Linked DNA regions of Bombyx mori. The protein of the gene in region 1 purifies or fractionates together with the protein of each later gene. This does not show direct contact. Links are inferred from orthologs where the notes say so. Each region holds a gene or a part of one and is shown in the gene's direction. Other genes may lie near its edges.

Region 1 (4,159 bases):
CTCCGTAGAACATGAACTATATTTTATTACTTACATTAGGATTATTAGGAAAAGATACAGAATCACAATCTACATCTAGTGAAGATTCAGAATCCATCACTAGAAAAGGGCTGAAAATAAATGGTTAAAATCAATCCTTCATGTGGCTTTTAATGGCTGATGCTGTCCTATTTTTATTTCGCCCTGTTAATTATTGTTAGGTGATATTTTAGGTCTAATGCAAACCAATCCAAGGATTTACATTGTTGTTAGAAGCAGAAGCTATAAATAGGTGGTGAAAATTTCTTGGCAAATTCGAGCAAAGGCAAATTCATAGACTAAACACTATTTCGGCAAATTAGTAGTAGTTTAATTTTTCCAGCTAGAGAGGCAAAGGAATCATACCATACAGCGTAATCTTTTTATTCTGTGCGTGTGTTTGTCACTGAACTCCTAAACGGCTGGACCAATTTTGATGTAATTTTCTGTATACCTTCAGATGGATTCGAGAATGGTTTAGATTTACCAATCATATGGCGCCCGGCAGAGGGCGCTGCAGTCGGTATATCTAGGTTATATAAATTTCCTAGAAATAATTTATATGACAAAACAACGTTTGCCGGGCCAGCTAGTCTTTTATATATTATATTTTTATATGAAAAATGATATTATAAAATGAAATAAAGTTGGTTAGAAACATGGCATAAAATGAAATGATAATAATATGTGTCTATTAAGTGTTTCTTCAGGTTTAAATGCGTAAATAACGGTGGTTTATTAACTGTTTAGTATCTATGAAAGTGCATAAATGTGGGAAAATAAAACCAAACCGCTGGACGTAACTTCTTGGGATCCTTTTTTACTGATGGTAGGACCTTTTGTGAGTCCGCACAGGTAGGTACCACCACCCTGCCTATTTCTGCCGTGTAGCAGTTATGCGTTTCGGTTTGAAGGGTGGGGCAGCCGTTGTAACTATACTTGAGACCTTAGAACTTATATCTCAAGGTGGGTGGCGCATTTACGTTGTATATGTCTATAGGCTTCAGTAACCACTTAACCAGGTGGGCTATGAGCCCCATCTAAGTCCACTCATCGAAGAAATAAAATAAAATAAACTTCCAAAAAGTCCACTGAAAAAGTCTCAGTAAATGACCACCATTTTACTGAAATTATGTTTCATCCTATATCATCTCTTTTCATTTTATTTGTCTCAAATTAATCATCTTCATTTCATTTCACTCCACATTATCATTTTTCATAAAAATAAGAATAAAAATTAAAATAAGACTACCTACAGGTCTTAGTTACCAGGTCATAAAATCCCCTAAAAAAAAATCTGTATAGTCATTTGTCAATCAATTTTGTCATTGTCACAGTTTAATTGGACTCTGAAGTAGTGTGAAAGTGTTAGCGGTTTTTCTTGTAAAACTGATTTATAATATTAAATATTTTTTAATCTTGCTATACTCTAAATATAACATAATACAATATCACAATGCCCGCCAAAGCAGTTTGCGTACTTCGTGGTGATGTTAGCGGAACTGTTTTCTTCGATCAGCAGGTATTACCAACGACTCCAATATTAAGTTACTAAATAAATTGTATTACGTATGTACTTAGGGTTATTTAACCATATAAAATAAATTCGTAAGTATGTACTTTAACATTAATAATACACACTTTTATTAATGAACCAATATTAAATATATTAATGAGAAATTTGTGTCTGTTATAATACCGGCCGACATTTTTATGTACCTACCTACCTGGTTGAAGATGGTTCTAGAAGTCAATTGTTTTTTTGCGTTTTTACTGACTGGTTTTTTATTTTGCTTTATAATATCGTACAGTACAGTTTTTTTATTTTATTAGGAATGGTAATGTCCTCATAAATGCAGTCCAGTATTAAGCAGTTACTGCAGCCTATGCACTCCAGTACTTATAGTGTGTTGGACGGTTGAATTTGAGTGGACTGGGTTCTGGGGTGAGAGGCTATTTAAAAACATTGCTTCATGGTTAATATAATTATATTGCATATACTTTGTAAACTATTACACCATTATAATATTTTATTTTTACAAAACTCTAATATGTTGCTCTGTCCGTGTCTAGATGATAAGTCATTGTCTACACTGACGAGAAGACAATCATCTGTTTTAAATATTTAAATAAGCATTCCAATATTTGAAACTGTAACCTTACATGTGTTAAGTGTTGCCTACCATTACTTTTATATTCAAACTCCATCATAGTGGCACCAATATTTATAAACAAATAAAATATTTATTCAAGCATTTCCTCATTTATTAAAATTAAAGAAAGTGCTATGTTGGAATTACAAATACACTAAGTAAAATTTAATATTAATATAATCATTCTGTACAGTTAGTTGTCAGTGTAGAACATTTTTCTTGATTAATGATTCAAAATAATTTAGTTTAAGAAGTGAGTTTTCAATCTTTACATAAAGTTACCCATAAATTACGATTTGTTTTAAATTTTCCTTATACTCTGGATGCTTAGTAACCTTGTCATATATGTTGATTGAAAAACTTATCTTGCATGAAAAAATACTTAAAATGATTTCATGGTAATAATACATTATTAGATTAGAAAAATGTAACACTAAATTCAATCATACTTGAAAAAATGAAAAACATTTTCTAAAGCCAATCATCTTTGTGTGACATTTGAAAAGACCAGACTGTTCTCATGACTTTGTATTTAAATATTCTACATAAGTATTAATCCTGACAATGAAATGAGGATATTTTTTGGATTATCCTCTTATTCTTTTTCAGTATTTTTAGTTGACGATTGTTAAGGATGTATAAAAGGTGTTGTTTTTGTAATATATGTATAAGGAAAATTTACCTTACAAACTTAATATAAAATAAACAAAAAACATTTCAAACTGAAAAGTTGATATATATATAATAAGTAATAAGAAATAAGTTATTGATCAATAATTAATTTTTTTTCTGATAATTACAGTCAGACTGATGAGAGAAAAAAACAACGTTTTAAATAATGCCTTTCAATTACAGGATGAAAAGTCACCTGTTGTTGTTTCTGGAGAGGTCCAGGGCTTGACTAAGGTTTGTATGTGATGTTACTACGAAACTTATTACTTAGTACAAATAGGCTTTGACAGGCTATCAAATTAGGACAACTGACTGGGGACTGTATGACTGCTAAAACAAAAACAAAATTTATTCTCATTTCCTGAATTCCACTCATTCAATGTGACACCATAACGGAAGTGCTGCTTGCTCTCTTTGAGCCCTGTAGTGTATATAATTGCTATCCAGACGTCAAAATTGAAATTTATCTTGAGCCAAAAATAATCAATTATCAATTTGGCTCATAACTGTTCAATCATATACAAAAGCAAGAATTCGGCAGGAAGCAGGAAGTCATAATTAAAAAGTGTCAAGAAAATGGAGTCGGCCTGTCTCTTTAATACTTGTTTTGTATTTTTTTATCTGTAGTGTCTATTTTTTTTTCAAAGTACAAAAAAATATAATTATAGTTATCACTTGTAAAATCCCAATGTAAATAGGTAATGTTAACAAATAAGAATAATTAAACTGTTTATAGTCAAATGACCTTGCAATGATAGTGATTGTGTATAATGTACATACAATTACTGAATATGATAATATGGAAGCTTGTATCGAACTAGCAAGTCATTATTCTTTAAACATTGATAGTAAAAAAATAATGTTGTAATAATAACTGATAAAGAAATTGGTTTTAATTATTGAGAATAGTGTAGTCAATATTCAGAACTTTCAGGTGGTTTTAACACGTAATGTAAAAAAATATATTACATATTGACTTGTTTAACAGTTAACATGAAGAAATACAACAATGCAAAATAAGCTTCATGTATTCATTCTGAAAATCTGGGCATCATCTACTATGGTAATGAATAAACTTTACTGTTAAAGGGTAAACACGGTTTCCATGTGCACGAATTTGGTGACAACACAAACGGTTGCACATCAGCTGGAGCTCATTTCAACCCTGAAAAACAAGATCATGGTGGTCCCAGTTCTGCTGTACGCCATGTCGGCGACCTCGGTAACATTGAGGCAATTGAAGACTCTGGAGTCACTAAAGTAAGTACCATCATTTTGATGACCTCAACAACTTGATATGTTAAATAGCAACATCA
Region 2 (4,025 bases), on another chromosome or scaffold:
TTCTTAATATAAAAATGCCAACGGTCAAAATTGACAGTTTAGTCATTTATTTGAACCGTATCGACAAAAAGAAAAACAATTGATTAAGAAAAGAATATACCAAAAAAACTAAATTAAATTAAATTAACGAAAAAGAAATAAACGTAAGTACGTAGCTATTACATGTAGGTAAGTAGGTAAGGTATGTAGGTAGGTACAATTTAATTAATTAAATCATTTGACGTTTGTTTGAAGTTTGCATTGATTTTAGTCTATTAGCTTAATTTTTTTTAAACAGAATAGACTCGCACCACTTATCATAATAATCTTAGATAACAGAAATGTCTATATGAACTGAAATTTATAATGAAATGAAACAAAATGAAATACATGGAATTAAATTACATGAAAAAATAATTCCAAGTGGAAATTAGATGACATATAATTGTTAAGCTCTCGGTCAAATTATGAAAATTTACTGAAATGTACTTTCATGGATTTTTTGTACTAACCAGGTTTCTTTTTTTTATATAACTTTCTATTTTCGGACATTGTCAGTATATATGTCATATATTGTCGGTGTATCATAGTCTTCCTTATACATACATCATTTTGACTAGTCTCAATACACTTCTAATACATATTTTGTATGTGTCAGTAAGTTGTGTGAAATGAAACTAAGACAGCATTAATGTAAGGTATTGATAATAAGAAGTTTTCATTGTACCATAATTGAATTAAAGGAGAAAAAACTTGTAAACGTGTCAGTGCTCGAGTCGGGAATTTAAATAAGAAAGCTGGACGTGGCTTTTCGACTTTCGTTTCATGTAATCGTATACTTACTCTCTATTATCTCATCTGAGTTCCTTTATTTTAATTTCATTTTATTTAATGTATTCGTTCCATTTCAGATTTGTTCAAATGACTTGGTCTTTTATAACTAAGATTAATTTGTATTCAATGAGTTCTTTGCCTTTTCAATGGACGAATCAAATAAAATTATCTTTGATATTCAATGTCATAGAGGTCATCATTGACGTTATTCTTAATTTTGTTCTCGTTGTTTATTCTATTTTAAATTACATGATAAACATTCTGCCTATTATCTAACAATTTTGTGATTGGACAGATTTTAAGATCAAGAAGAAAGTGACCAATTGCAAAAATATATTTTAGAGTCTGATAAAAGAAAGCTCAAAAAGAATCGTTTTAATTTATTTTTGTCGTATGTGGTAACTTAAACTTAACAGTACACTGCAGTTGATACACGATATTTGTTGAAAAGTTGGAAGCTCAAATAAGGTAAGTTAAATATTTTTAGTTTAACTTAATAAAAAGTCAAATTGTTTAGTCCTATCGTATAAATAATCTAGAAGAAGTAAAATTCAGAAATAAATACCGTGTTATCGGCTGTGTTATTTCTGCTAATTTTAAACACCCCTCTTCTAACAATCCAGTAATATAAGAACTTCACGAATAATTATTTATTTATACTAAACTAAATAATAATAGGTAAGTATCTTCATAGGAAAATTATGAAATCATAATTTTTCGTCAACTTACGGTCTGCTAACAGTTTGCACGGATCTGTACTGGTATCCGGCTTCTGAACCAAAGCAATTGTCTTCCCAATTATTGGGCAGTACAGCCGTTACATTAATAAAGTTAAGATTTTAACATCATTTCTTAAGAGACGACTGATGACATTGGCTTCACATTTCGGGCTGCAATATCTCCCTGTAGAGAAGCTCATAAAAAAACTTGCATAAAGGAAAAATCATATTTTCATTCTGTTACTCCCTATCTAATATAGATTGACATGGTAAACCTTAATATATTCACTTTGCTTTATATATTAATAATATATTATATTGCCTTAACAGATAACAGAAATGGGTCGCAAATTTGTTGTTGGAGGTAACTGGAAGATGAATGGTGACAAAAATCAAATCAACGAAATAGTTAATAATCTAAAAAAGGGACCTCTAGATCCTAATGTTGAGGTAAATGAAATTCAATACTATAATGTTAATTTTAAAATTGATTTAGGCTTCAATTTATTATATTTTAAGCAATGCTTTTCAAAATATGATCTTTTAAGACTTTTTTCTTAAAAGTAGTTTGAACAGGAAAACTGATTTTTTGTTGGCTGTAGTCTTCCTAAACATACTACTTTTATTGTATGTCATATGCATTTAATTAAATATTGTGTGTTCACTCCACAAAAAAAAAAAACAAATTTCATTATTTTGTTAAGTGACAATGTTACTTTTTTGAGAAATGTATCAACTTGTTGTCAGGTAATTGTTGGTGTTCCTGCTATTTACCTGTCTTATGTGAAGACTATCATTCCTGATAATGTCGAAGTTGCAGCCCAGAACTGTTGGAAGTCTCCAAAAGGAGCTTTTACTGGTAAATGTGGTTTATCATAGTTATCGGAATTTTTGTATAACATCAAAACAATGTTCCAATTATGATATACAGAGTACTAAGTAATGTTTTACTGTTGCTTCAGGTGAAATTTCACCCGCTATGATCAAAGACGTTGGAGTAAATTGGGTTATACTTGGTCATTCTGAAAGAAGAACAATTTTTGGTGAAAAAGATGAACTTGTTGCTGAAAAGGTAGTTTGAATTGTTGATACATTAAATGTATTTTTTTAATGAAAATTTATGAAGCTTGTGAGAGCTTATAGCATAACCTTTTTGATTTCTCTAATGGGGTTTCAAAATGATTAGCACAGTACTCCACCGCAGTATTTTGTGCAATGGTATATTTATAATAATCAGACTAATCATGTATTAATTAACAAGCTAACAAAGTGCAAAGCTAAGACAAAATTTAAATAATGCACTATAAATCTGTTGACCTCTATTAGTATTTTCATTGTGTTGTATTTTCTAATTTTTTTCTTAAATCCCACTTTAAGCACTAGCTACACTATCAGCACGCTATGAGGGCCATTTTGACATACTACAATAGTGATGTAAATTGTCAATTATTATTTATTCTCCAAAAAATGTAATGAAGTCTAAGTTTTTATTGCAGGTAGTACCTGATTAAAAAAGTTTAATAAAACAAAAATATAAATGCTTACTTAATATATTTGAACGATCTGTATATTGGAATAAAAATTAATATACATACTACAAGAAATAAATTAATACAAAAAGAGACCAAAAAAAGTGCCCCAAAAGGCTATATTTAATCAGATACGTCCATTCTGCTATTTTCACTGTCATCACTGTTATCATCACCTACATTAATTATAAGTTTGTTTTCTAAAATATTATCTATGTTCAGATTTCTTTCGTAATCTTCCCTTATTAGTTTAACAGTTCTTTCCACAACCTTTTCCCAGTCTCTTTTAGTCACATGTTCACAAACTTCTAATATTTTTAGCATTTTTGATGTGGTAAAGGGGGTTTTGTATCGTGTCTTGTAGCATATCCCTTAATTTGTGCCAACACCAACTCATTTGCATAATATTCACAATGGTAAGGCGGTAACCGTATAACTCTGTGCCCCTGTTCTAATGCTATTTCTTCAATGACGTATCGTATCTGGGTTGGTTTGAATTTCGAAAAACAAATGCTGATTTGTGTGGTAAATAAGTACGGTACGGAACACAAATGTAATTACTATTAATACGAAACTTCATGGGTGGACAAACGTCAAAACGGCCATCATAGTGTGCCGGTAGTGTCGTGTGTGCACTAGGATGCGTTATGTGTTTTATCTATATGTGCTCTAAAGTAACCAGGTGTTTGAGTTTGAAAGATGGGATAGGTATTATTCAATTTAGTTCTGTCCATTTATTGTAATTTTTTTTACCAGGTTGCTCATGCCCTTGAATCTGGCTTGAAAGTCATTGCCTGTATTGGTGAGACTCTCGAAGAGAGAGAATCTGGCAAGACTGAGGAAGTTGTTTTTAGACAATTAAAAGCTTTAGTATCGGCCATTGGTGACAAATGGGAAAATATTGTGCTTGCCTATGAACCTGTATGGGCTATTGGTACAGGCAAGACTGCTACTCCCCAACAGG
Region 3 (4,307 bases), about 15 Mb from region 1:
TTTCACCAGGACAGGTGAGCGAGCAAAGGCTCAGCCAGGAAAGGGTACATAATTAGTGATTATGTATGTATAGTTTTTGTTTGAAATAGTTTAAATTTTGTGTTTTGAAGTTAACAAAAAACACGGTATCTGAACAGTTGCGATGTGTGAAAATTAGTGAGCAGGTAGTTTTGTTCTCTATTTTATAACACCACCTAGAATCAATGCGTTCATCCACAGTGCATTTCCATAGATATTTTTTGCCACTTACCTATGGTGCTTCCCGAAAGCACATATCCATAAAACGAGGCTTTTATACAGTACTTAGCGGTAGGCAGCGTTTTAGCTCTGCCCCTGGGAATGCTAATGTACATAGACGACGGTAACTTAAAAAGTAAAAAACAACGGAGCTTGCGAGTGCAGCCGCATGTTATGACTACGAACAATTTTGTTTACATAACAAACTGTGTCCCTACAGGTATATATAATATAATATAGATATAATAATATATTGTTTAGGTTGTCGTGATAGTTTTTTCTAAGACTCGCAACGTTGTTGATGCATCATGTCGTTTTTCGGTTTCAGACATCGTGTCAAATTTATATTCTGTGACGGCTACCGCTGTTTTGTGCGCTTGTAAGGTTAAAAAAGTGTAGGTACCTCCAAATTCTAGTGCTCCTATTAAGGACATAAATAAATCATAAAAACAATTTATGAACCTAAATAAAATTTGCAATGGAAAATGATTTGACAATATGTAGGTCTAAGAGACCACAATATGTTGATGGATGCTAATTGATGGATGCTAAAATATTTGTGGGTGTTTTATCAAGCTAAGTTCATTTCGTTACGGAACCCTTCATAGTGTAGACTGTTATACACTTGACGATATAGGTAATTTTTTACAATGTTTCGAGCATAGATAATTTGTTTACACCATACACAAATAACCTTAGGCCTTAGATGATAATAGTAACGACAATTAATTGACAATACCTACACAATTTCAAAGGCAAAGTAGGTAATTTACTCTCTTATACACAGTCTATTATCTATGTATACTAGTAGGTACCGTACTTAAATTTAATCAGAAATTGTCAACTCGTTCATAATTAATATTTAATTTAGTAGTTATGTACAAATATGTTTATTTAATAAATATCAAGTGTATTATCTATGGTTCTCATGTTGCTGTTGTCATTGTCTACTCGTTCTAATTTATTTTTAAAAACTCTTGCAAATTATAGAGCTTTTAAATCAAGGTACCGAACTGTTTTAGCGGAATTTAATTGCATAAGTGGCGTTAACTACATTCACATTATAATCTAGCCGTGAATCAAGTGAAAATACCTACCAAAATAGAGGATACAACAAATTGAACCGGCATTTAATTACCTTTAAGAAAACTTTAATTATACTTTTATCGTAATACCTACTGATTACATAATACAGAAATAAAAACTATGTAATTTGTTGTTTGCACACTACATGCTTTTCTGTTTTATATTAGTTTATTTTCATTTTAGAACAATGAGCAAGTCTGCGTTAGTGATTTTGGCGCAGGGTGCAGAGGAGATGGAGACAGTTATAACTGTTGATATGCTGAGACGAGGAGGGGTTTGTAGTCAATTAATTCATTAAATCCGTTGACTGAATTTCCTTAGTTGGATTGTAATTAGACTTTTGCTAATCGACATATTTCGCCCGTCATGTGGTCTTGACGATCTGATAATGTGATTCCAGATAGCTGACTCTCGCTCGTCAATAAAAACTAACACCCTTTTATCAACTATTCAGTTACAATGGTCGCCGGGTAATCATGATGCTACCACAGCTGTCAATGACAAAGTCTAAAATCTAAATGACAAATAGACCAACACCTCAGCTGATCACTGATTGATAGTATTAGCAATATAATATAAAACTTATAGCCCTAGTCTCCTATTACTATAGAAAATTTAGTGTATTCTAAAATTGCATAATGAAAATCGACCATAAATTATCAAATAGTTGAATACTAGATCACTGCTTAATTGTAAATCTTAATTAAACAATAAAAAGTTACTACTTACTATATACTGATCAATTGCTGTTCTACTCGAATGTGCATCAGTTGCGTAATTGTTGTCCACTCCCAACTGCAACATCATTGAAATAGTTTTTTCATATTATGTTATCATAATGATGTTATGTGTATAAGAGTTATACTATGGTATTGGTTTGAACACTAAGGGTAGGATTGAAATCATGAATCTTTAAAATATTATAATACTCGGAGAGCATCCATACTCATAAAGAATATTTTTACCTTTTTATCATTATCTTAAAGGACGAAATCCATAGAATTTCAAAGAAATTGTATCAGGAAAGGAAGTGAAAATGAATTGGCTATGAACAATAAAAGATACTATATTGCTAAAACAAAAGGACATTGTATCTAAATGATTTACAAAAGAGAAGCTGCCTTTATTGGAGGACGAACTCCCAGGTCTCACAGCACACCTGCACACAGCTCATGCTCATTGCAGATTCCATAGTAAACAAAACAAAGGTTACATTCTATACCCATGAGAAGGAATATCATAGTGGTATTCTAACCAATGAGTAATTTATTATTAAGCTTTTTTCTTATTGAAAAGACCTTATTTCCCCATAGGTAACAGTTACTCTAGCTGGCTTGGAAGGTTCATCTCCTGTGCTGTGCTCAAGGCAAGTGACTCTAGTACCTGATAAGTCACTGACTGAAGCCCTCGCTGAGAAACAACAGTATGATGCTGTGAGTATCCTTACCGTTATCTTATACAGCAAAGTTCATTTGCAACTGCAGAAACTACATCATTTCTAGAAAAAAATTACAATAGTACACCCAATTTCTATGTTAACATAATTTAGAACCTGAGAACCTTAGAACCTAGAATTATGCACCCCAGTTGTGATTTTAATGGCTAATGATTCTGTTCTATTAGGTTTATTAAACATTTAGACGTAGCATAGGCATGATCCAAAATAAGATTAGCTAGTGACAACCCATAATAACCGGGGCACGAGTCACGACCATCACCTAGCCACAAATTAGATTCCCTGTCTTGCACCACCGTTTCAGTTGAAGTTGAAGAAAATACTTGGCATCATCAACTACAATGAATGTTACTTTGACAGGCGTTATATAGCACTGCAGGTGTCACCTATAAAAATAAATAATTTTCTCCAAACAGGTGATTCTACCAGGAGGCTTAGAAGGATCAGACAGTCTCTCCAAATCCGAGAAGGTTGGTGCTCTGCTTAAAGACCACGAGGATAATGGGAAAATCATTGCTGCCATTTGTGCTGGTAAATGAATTACTAAAAATTTTTTTTAAGTTTGCTTCCAATTGAGTTTGGAATACTAATGTTACCAATGGATGTCATCATCATCATCATCATCACAACCGACACCTCCTCGCCACTCCTCACCCGTTCCCAATGGATATACTAATTTTAAATTTCTAAACTACATGTTGACTTATTAATATTTTGTCCCGGTAAAGTCAACAATAAGTACAGTTGATTGAATAAGCCAATAGAAACATTTGTTTATAGACATAAGAGAATTCTCTTTCAATAAGCAACTACGTAAATAAAATATTAAAAACTATCTAAGGAAATATCGCAACATATATAATGTCACAGACATAATATGTAATTAAATGTTACATTGGCAGCTCCCATAGCGTTTGCAGCCCACGGCGTGGCGAGGGGCCGGCGCGTGACGTCATACCCCAGCACCAGGGACAAGCTGTCGGCCGGCGACTACACGTACGTGGAGGGGGAGAGGGTGGTGGTGGACGGCAACGTGGTCACCAGCCGGGTCAGTGATCTTATTATAAAGCTATAGGGGTTAAAGTATGAAATTGCCGTTCTATTGTAATAGGCACTCCAAATTGACATAGAACTTTTGAGTGAAACTTTTTTCAAATGGTACCTATAGGGTTCTTCTTTTGAAAAATGTGCAACATTCGATTATCGATTTTTAGTAGTTGACTCGATTCATGAATCGATCTTCACCATTATTGCTCCATGATAACGCGAGACCTCATACAGCACGAGAAACCGTTTTAACTCTACAGGAACTGCAATTAGGAATCATTTGTCATCCTCCGTATTCGCCAGACCTTGCTCCAACGGACTACCATTTTTTTCGTGATTTGGACAATTTTGTACATGGTAAAGAAAAACTTCGCAGTTTGTAGAATCTAGATCACCAGAGTTCTATCGCAAATAAATGACTTTCCTATTAGATGGCAGCAAAGTATAGATAATAACGTCATCAACAGATGACGTGGATTGA
Region 4 (2,808 bases), on another chromosome or scaffold:
TATGTACAAGCGCTTTTTAGTGATCTCAATCAGTGTATTATCTAGTGTCTAAGCGGTCTACGGTTTTACAAACACAGATAATACATACCATGACATGGGGTAAATTGGGATTCTGGGGTAAATTGGGACAAACCTGCGGAAGATTCTCAAAGTACTTGTAGCACGGAATCTACCTAATTTTCTTTAAGGTAATATTTATCAATGTATAGAAGAAAAACCAAGTTAACTATGGAAGTACTAAACATGAGTTAAGTTGGACCCAAAAATTCGTCAAATTAAATTTAAAATAGTGGTTGAAAAGTGCGTTTTAAAACAGCCTAGAGAACTTTTAAAAAAAGTAATATTATCGTTGTTTTTTCAATAAGATCACAGTATAAATAAGTTTTTAATACACCTGGAAATACCACAACAAACGGTAAGTTGCAATATTCTTATTTTAAATACAATATTTCGACAAAATAAAAAATGTATATTTTTTCCTTTCTTTTTGGGGAAAATTGGGACGTATGTAGGGTAATTTGGAACGAGACTGGAAAAATTATGGACGAGAAAACACAAAATTGGAACGCCAAAAGACAAAATAGGGATGGCTTGTTAGGGTTGTCACTGATATCTTATAATAGATTTTTTAGCCTATACTATCACTTAATTGCGTGATGTAAAGAAGGTTAATGTGTTTATCAGTTAGTTTATGTAAGTATTATAGGTAAAAGAAAAGTATATATATAATTACTTTTTTTTCGCGACATTTACCTTGTAATATCTGCCCGGTCGTATGTTCTTTATAGCAATAAAAAAAATTAAAAGTTAAAAGAACTCCAACGAATCAAAACTTTTGTTATTTCAGAATGTATTCACGCGTCGAATCATGATTTTGTTAACATTCACAACGAACACACACAAATAAAAACAGGCCTCAGATTTTAAATGTAACATTAATAAAAAATCCGAGATATCCAATTATGAGTGAGTGAATTAATTGAGTTTAGTTATTTCGCTTAGAAATAATTTCTTTTATTTTTGTTATTATTGGCAGTAATCAGATAAAGCTGTTTTTTTATCTTATTCACCTGATATCTTACTCTTGCTCAAAGATTATTTTGAAAATGTTGATTAAATAAAATTGTATTATTGCATTTCCAGTCCTTTTGGATTTATTCTATTTTATGATTTTGTTTCAGGGTTGTGATTTTTAAGGAAATTAAATAATAATTTTCTAAAATATAACATGCACATACTTTTTTTGATCATTGTATTGTTGATTATCATTCACGTCACATCGCTTCGGAATAGAAACCAGCTTAATTTACACTATGTTGTGTATTGTGCTTAAATTATGGATTGTATTCATCATTTCGGTCCATATAAATAATTATATGGCACCTATATATCGCAGTACTGCGAGTTGACAACCCTTACAAATATTCCAATTTAACCCTTAACCGTGTCAATTTACCCCGGACGCTGGGTAAATTGGGACGGCCATTATTTTACCGATTATTTCTTTAAAATGAATAATTAAAATAATGTAACGGTTTTTATCACCTAGGTACGTTCAAGACTCAACTTATTTCTTTGGTTGGGCAGTGACTATTTAATTGGAACTGTTTTAAAATTCAATCTGAAGGTCGATTTTGTCCCTATTTACCCCATTGTACGGTAATATCTAAAAGTGGATATATTCTGTGATCGCAGTTTCTGGTTTGACAATCATTGAGATAACCCGGCAACCGATAGGACTGTTTGACTCGAATATTCTAGATTCCGCAAATTTTGAACAGCGTTCATCGTGCTCATATTCTTCGCTTTTGAATTCTGTTAATTAAAAATCGAAATGGCCAATGCAGTAAAACGATTGGTTCCTCTTCTGGACCGTGTCCTGATCAAAAGAGCTGAAGCTATAACCAAAACTGCCGGAGGCATTGTCATCCCAGAGAAGGCTCAATCCAAGGTTTTACACGGAGAAGTAGTAGCGGTCGGTCCTGGAGCCCGAAAAGAAAATGGAGACTTCATCCCCGTTCAAGTTAGTGTGGGTGATAAAGTTCTTCTTCCAGAATACGGCGGTACTAAAGTAAGCCTTGAAAATGATGAGAAAGAATATCATCTCTTCAGAGAGTCTGACATACTGGCGAAAATTGAAAACTGAATGATGGTAGCTTTAACATGTGATTCTAATTCTGTTAGTTTAGTTGTAGCGTGCGCAAATGAAACGTTGATATGGTCGTGTATTTTTTGTGAGGTATTGATCTTATCTCAGTTGCAATACTTGCATTTCTTATTATAATAATAATTATTGTTATAAATCTGTCGTTTTATTCAAAATTTCTCCACTGTTATATTAAAATGTTACATCATCATGTAAACTAACCTAACCTCAAAAGGAGCATGCATTTTATAAACGAGTTGGTACGTTGAGGAACAATTCTTGTGTCCCAACATACTATAATTGTAATACGGCAAAACTATTGAAGTCAGCCTCAATATGATTATCATTAATTTGAGAGCAAAAATGCTATAGGATTATTTCAATTCCCATTGAAATAGAGCTACTAACAATTAAAATTAATTGAGATAACACTTAATATAGTATTTAGTAATAGCACACTGATATTATTTTTAATCTTTGCTATTGTGGAAGACCATATGAGCACAGACTGCCATTAAGTGAGCAGTTATAGTTGCTCATGCTCTTGTCAGCAGTGACAATGCTATATATTTTGATTTATGCAATGGGCTCCCTACAATTTTTTTCTCAGCACTATAACATGTCCTTTAAATAAGGTTCAGACTCCAGAGCAGGTGCAAAAG
Region 5 (4,097 bases), on another chromosome or scaffold:
AGCCATAGCGAAGCCTTCTCAATTTCATTTCCATTTGGGCCATCGTACAGAGCGCTGATCGCCTGGTAAACAGTGTCCATTGAAGGAGCATCCATCGTGGAGATTTAAATTCTTATACTAATCTCAACCCCACACTTTTCTGGTGCATAAAATGTTACTTTTCATATCTACTTAAGAAAGTATTGTTTCGAATCAAATTTGATTACAAAAAGAAACTCAAAACGAAACGACAACGAACCACAAATTGCAAATGACAGATGACAGATTCGAGTCAGTCAGCAGGGCTGAGCTCGAAACCGCATTGACTTGATTCAAGTTGACTGGAAAACGAAGTTGTAATATTTTAATTTACCTACCTATTAAGTCTGCTCAACCCAAACAAGTAGCATTGAGATTTTCTTCCTACAAAAAATAGATCTTAACGTTAGTGTAATTTAATTCTTGGGATGTAATCATCTGACAATACTTTACAGGTTCAAACATATTCAGGGGACAAAACTTGAGCAGTAGACCGTATCCCTATTTTAAGAAGATTGATTAAAAACTTATTTTTTACAATCATTATATGATAAATAACGACAGAAAGACACGTAGAGAAAGATGTAGAAATCAAACGAGTAGTTTGTCTTACCGCGTAAAATACCGCTTGATTAATGAAATGATTTGATAATGACCAAATCCTAGAAAATTTAAATAATTAAAAAACGTTTTTTTTATTGCCCTTGTAGACAGACGAGCATACGGCCCACCTGATGGTGAGTGGTTACCGTCACCCATGGACTTCAGCAATGCCAGGGGCAGAGCCAAGCCGCTGTCTACCGAGGTTAAGTATAAAGAATCATATCAAGTTTGTTCTTGAAACATACAATTTAGTTATTTTGTTATGCTATTAAACCACTATTAATATTATTAATTTTTTTCTTAATTGAGTTATAATATATATCCGAAAGAAGTTATTATTATTTACTTATAGTGATTATTATTAATAATTACTGTGAAATATTAATTAATTTCTGATAATCTATGATGTAGATTTAAATCAGTAGCTGGTATAATAACAGTGGATATATGATTCATTTAAGCCCAAAGAGTATCGATGAAATGTATTGGTACAGCACCGTGGAGTCATTGTTAAAAGTTTTAATTTTCTAACTATTTGGCAGCAAAAATGGTTGGTTTTTTAAGAGTTTGTGGCGACTAAAAGGTCAATTCCACATTTACGTAGAAAGACTTCAACCTATTTGGAGATATTCGAAAAATACAGGGAAGATGACAAAACAAAATATAATGTAAAAGGCTTTTTTTAAACGAATTGAGAAAATAATAGAAATACGTACTATATAATTATGCGCGCTCCATTACTGAGACCCTTTATAAAAAAAATATTCATTACTCTATTCTTTCGGGCTTAGTAAACTTTAGACCTTACCTTTTGGCTTAAGCCAGGAACGAAAGCACATTAGAGCATCTAGGTATTTATTAATATTAACCACTGAATTTTTATAGTGTATGTACCCTTGTTCTGTTTCATAATGCAAAGCGTCGTCATGACGGCCGAATGACATTTGACAGCTTGACATAAAAGTTATCAAAGTTGTGAAGGTCATGAACTTTTATCATCTGTTAACTTACGATCGATATAACAAAATAAATAATAAGTAAGGTAACTACCATAGTAAAAACTTCTACCTTCTAATGTTTCTCACAGGGTCTTCGATTATCCGTGGCATTACCGCATTCACCAATCGAGCGTCAGCGCGAGCACTTCACATTTCACAATTAAGCATGGCACCAATTAAGGTAAATTATTTAAGAAAAAAGACTTTTTGGAATTACATAACAGGTTTTTTTCAAGTGTTTTACTTCAAGGTCGGGGATCAGCTGCCTGCTGCTGATTTATTCGAAGATTCTCCCGCTAATAAGGTGAATATTTGTGAGTTGACGGCGGGAAAGAAGGTTGTATTATTTGCGGTGCCGGGCGCCTTCACCCCGGGATGTTCTAAAACACACTTGCCGGGATACGTACAGAACGCAGATAAACTGAAATCGGATGGAGTTGCTGAAATAGTGTGCGTGTCTGTTAATGACCCGTATGTGATGGCGGCTTGGGGAGCTCAGCACAACACTAAAGGAAAGGTAATTCCTTCATACAAATATATTATTTACGTCATTCTCTTGTTTAAATTTTTCAATGAGATATATTAACATTGAGGTACCAAAATATTTATAATGCGAAATGTATTTAAGCATATATCTATAGATCCAGTAACCACCATTTTAATACTGCCACGTGTCTTGAGGACTGACATTGGATTCACGGTTACATTGTAATATTTGTTATACCCTCTAAATTGAATGCAAGCTTGCTTAATAGTAAAATGTTTTTACTCGAATAATAATTGCTTCAAATTATTTTCATTTACTTATCTGAATTTTTTATTTTGATTTTGTTAATTTATTTTTATCAAAAGTGAAAACAACCTGAAAATAGTTTTTCTGCTACCTACACAGTATCGCAATCAAATATATCTAACATATTACTGAGTGGAATTTAATTTAGTATTTTCTTTGATTTTCGGGGGGATCTTTGCATTAAGTAAAACTTATTTTATGGTTTATAAATTTATTTTATAATTAATTATTACCTATTTTATATTCATAGTTCTATAATATAATAAATACCAAACAGTTTTTAAGTCGTGGGTAATGATTACAATATTGTGCTTCTAATTTACCTGAAACCTACCTACTTGTTTCTGATAAAATATACAATGATCAAATATTAATGACATGACCTACTATTTAAATGATTAACGTAAATAAAGAACAATACCTTGAATTAACTTATTTACGACAATAAATAAAAAAGGTTCTGTTAGTAATCGTTCCGTTGTGACCTTCTCACAGTCACAACAGTATAAGACCTTGTTACCAATAAATTTTAAGAGAGTATTTTGTCTATTGATATTACATCGAATCAATGTTTTTTGAATGTGCGGATTACTGAAATGCATAAATGGTGGTGGTATGGTGTAAGCGGACATGGGTAGGTACCATTCCTGTCCCTCTATAGGTAGATATAACTAACTATACTTGAGACCTTAGAACTTATATCTCAAGGTGGGTGGCGCATTTACGTTGTGGATGTCTATGGGCTCCAGTAAACACTTAACACCAGGTGGGCTGTGAGCTCGTCCACCCATCTAAGCAATAAAAAAAAAGATAGTTAGGTAGGACTGCTATTATACAATACAGTTGAGTAGATCTTTGTAGTGCAGTAAACACAAAACACAAGGCAGTTTACTCACTCATCTGAATATATAATAAAAACTGAGTATACAACATACATATTAATAATATGTATTATTTGTAATTAGTGATTTTAAAATTACAAGAGCCATATTTAATGAAAAAATGTCCAAAAGCTTATTATGAACGTGGGAGCTGTTATCAGACGTTATAAGAAGTTATGAGGTCGTCTACAGGGCAGCGGCGACCGTGCCATGACCAGTGTGTATATGTGACAAAACAATAGCAGTGTGTGTCATCATCACATTTTTTTTTGTGTTGAATTTTTGCCCGCAACAGAGTAATCGCGATTGCGGTATTACAAATAGTATAACATAAAAAGTAGGTGTGTGAACTAGTGCAACTGCTATATCGATCCCACGGCAGGTGGCACGTAAAAGTTTAACTATGTAGATAAATAGTTATTGAGTTGGCAGTGAAGCCAGTCTTAGTTAAAATGAGGTCGGAGTCTATATTCACCATTCAATCTGGAGCGTATGATAGTTTTTCGGCAGACAAGACATTTTTTAGTTATAGATGAGCCGACAAGCTGATTTTCTTAACAAGCTAATCTTCTACGGTAGGCAGCGGCTTGGCTCTACCCCTGGCAAAAAACAAAAAAAAAACCTTGAGTAGCCACATCTTATCGAAAAAGTATAATTAGGTACATTGTAATAACGGCTCTACAATAACTATTGACATCGAGGCGGTAGTTAGCTACTGCTTAGCTCTTTATGTCTATGACTCTCTTGGGATGTAATTGTGGTTCCCACGTCCTTCCCCATCAGTATTTCGAAGGGATTTAGTCC

Evidence for each region.
Region 2: the proteins of SOD (region 1) and Tpi purify together in Homo sapiens (affinity purification with mass spectrometry; 3 studies listed by BioGRID, with this or other methods). This does not show direct contact. The link is inferred for Bombyx mori from reciprocal best matches to the Homo sapiens genes SOD1 and TPI1.
Region 3: the proteins of SOD (region 1) and BmDJ-1beta purify together in Homo sapiens (affinity purification with mass spectrometry; 4 studies listed by BioGRID and IntAct, with this or other methods). This does not show direct contact. The link is inferred for Bombyx mori from reciprocal best matches to the Homo sapiens genes SOD1 and PARK7.
Region 4: the proteins of SOD (region 1) and 10 kDa heat shock protein, mitochondrial purify together in Homo sapiens (affinity purification with mass spectrometry; 3 studies listed by BioGRID, with this or other methods). This does not show direct contact. The link is inferred for Bombyx mori from reciprocal best matches to the Homo sapiens genes SOD1 and HSPE1.
Region 5: the proteins of SOD (region 1) and peroxiredoxin fractionate together in Homo sapiens (co-fractionation; 3 studies listed by BioGRID and IntAct, with this or other methods). This does not show direct contact. The link is inferred for Bombyx mori from reciprocal best matches to the Homo sapiens genes SOD1 and PRDX5.

The regions. Positions count from the first base shown.
Region 1 is NC_085129.1:803,891-808,049, reverse strand, and holds the start of SOD (superoxide dismutase [Cu-Zn]), read left to right. Parts: upstream 1-1,358; 5' UTR 1,359-1,474; coding exon 1,475-1,540; intron 1,541-3,026; coding exon 3,027-3,077; intron 3,078-3,932; coding exon 3,933-4,103; intron 4,104-4,159. Other genes in the region: uncharacterized protein LOC101740193, read right to left, coding at 35-97. UniProt on the Homo sapiens protein: Destroys radicals which are normally produced within the cells and which are toxic to biological systems.
Region 2 is NC_085107.1:8,566,548-8,570,572, reverse strand, and holds the start of Tpi (triosephosphate isomerase), read left to right. Parts: upstream 1-1,222; 5' UTR 1,223-1,281; intron 1,282-1,862; 5' UTR 1,863-1,871; coding exon 1,872-1,982; intron 1,983-2,279; coding exon 2,280-2,391; intron 2,392-2,494; coding exon 2,495-2,604; intron 2,605-3,817; coding exon 3,818-4,024; intron 4,025-4,025. UniProt on the Homo sapiens protein: Triosephosphate isomerase is an extremely efficient metabolic enzyme that catalyzes the interconversion between dihydroxyacetone phosphate (DHAP) and D-glyceraldehyde-3-phosphate (G3P) in glycolysis and gluconeogenesis.
Region 3 is NC_085129.1:16,172,219-16,176,525, forward strand, and holds the start of BmDJ-1beta (DJ-1 beta), read left to right. Parts: upstream 1-1,504; 5' UTR 1,505-1,506; coding exon of another isoform or gene 1,507-1,510; coding exon 1,511-1,597; intron 1,598-2,636; coding exon 2,637-2,756; intron 2,757-3,195; coding exon 3,196-3,310; intron 3,311-3,681; coding exon 3,682-3,827; intron 3,828-4,307. UniProt on the Homo sapiens protein: Multifunctional protein with controversial molecular function which plays an important role in cell protection against oxidative stress and cell death acting as oxidative stress sensor and redox-sensitive chaperone and protease.
Region 4 is NC_085117.1:15,042,781-15,045,588, forward strand, and holds 10 kDa heat shock protein, mitochondrial, read left to right. Parts: upstream 1-1,445; 5' UTR 1,446-1,834; coding exon 1,835-2,146; 3' UTR 2,147-2,303; downstream 2,304-2,808. UniProt on the Homo sapiens protein: Co-chaperonin implicated in mitochondrial protein import and macromolecular assembly. Together with Hsp60, facilitates the correct folding of imported proteins.
Region 5 is NC_085118.1:970,278-974,374, forward strand, and holds the start of peroxiredoxin, read left to right. Parts: upstream 1-1,296; 5' UTR 1,297-1,399; intron 1,400-1,627; 5' UTR 1,628-1,695; coding exon 1,696-1,800; intron 1,801-1,869; coding exon 1,870-2,136; intron 2,137-4,097. Other genes in the region: transportin-3, read right to left, coding at 1-95. UniProt on the Homo sapiens protein: Thiol-specific peroxidase that catalyzes the reduction of hydrogen peroxide and organic hydroperoxides to water and alcohols, respectively.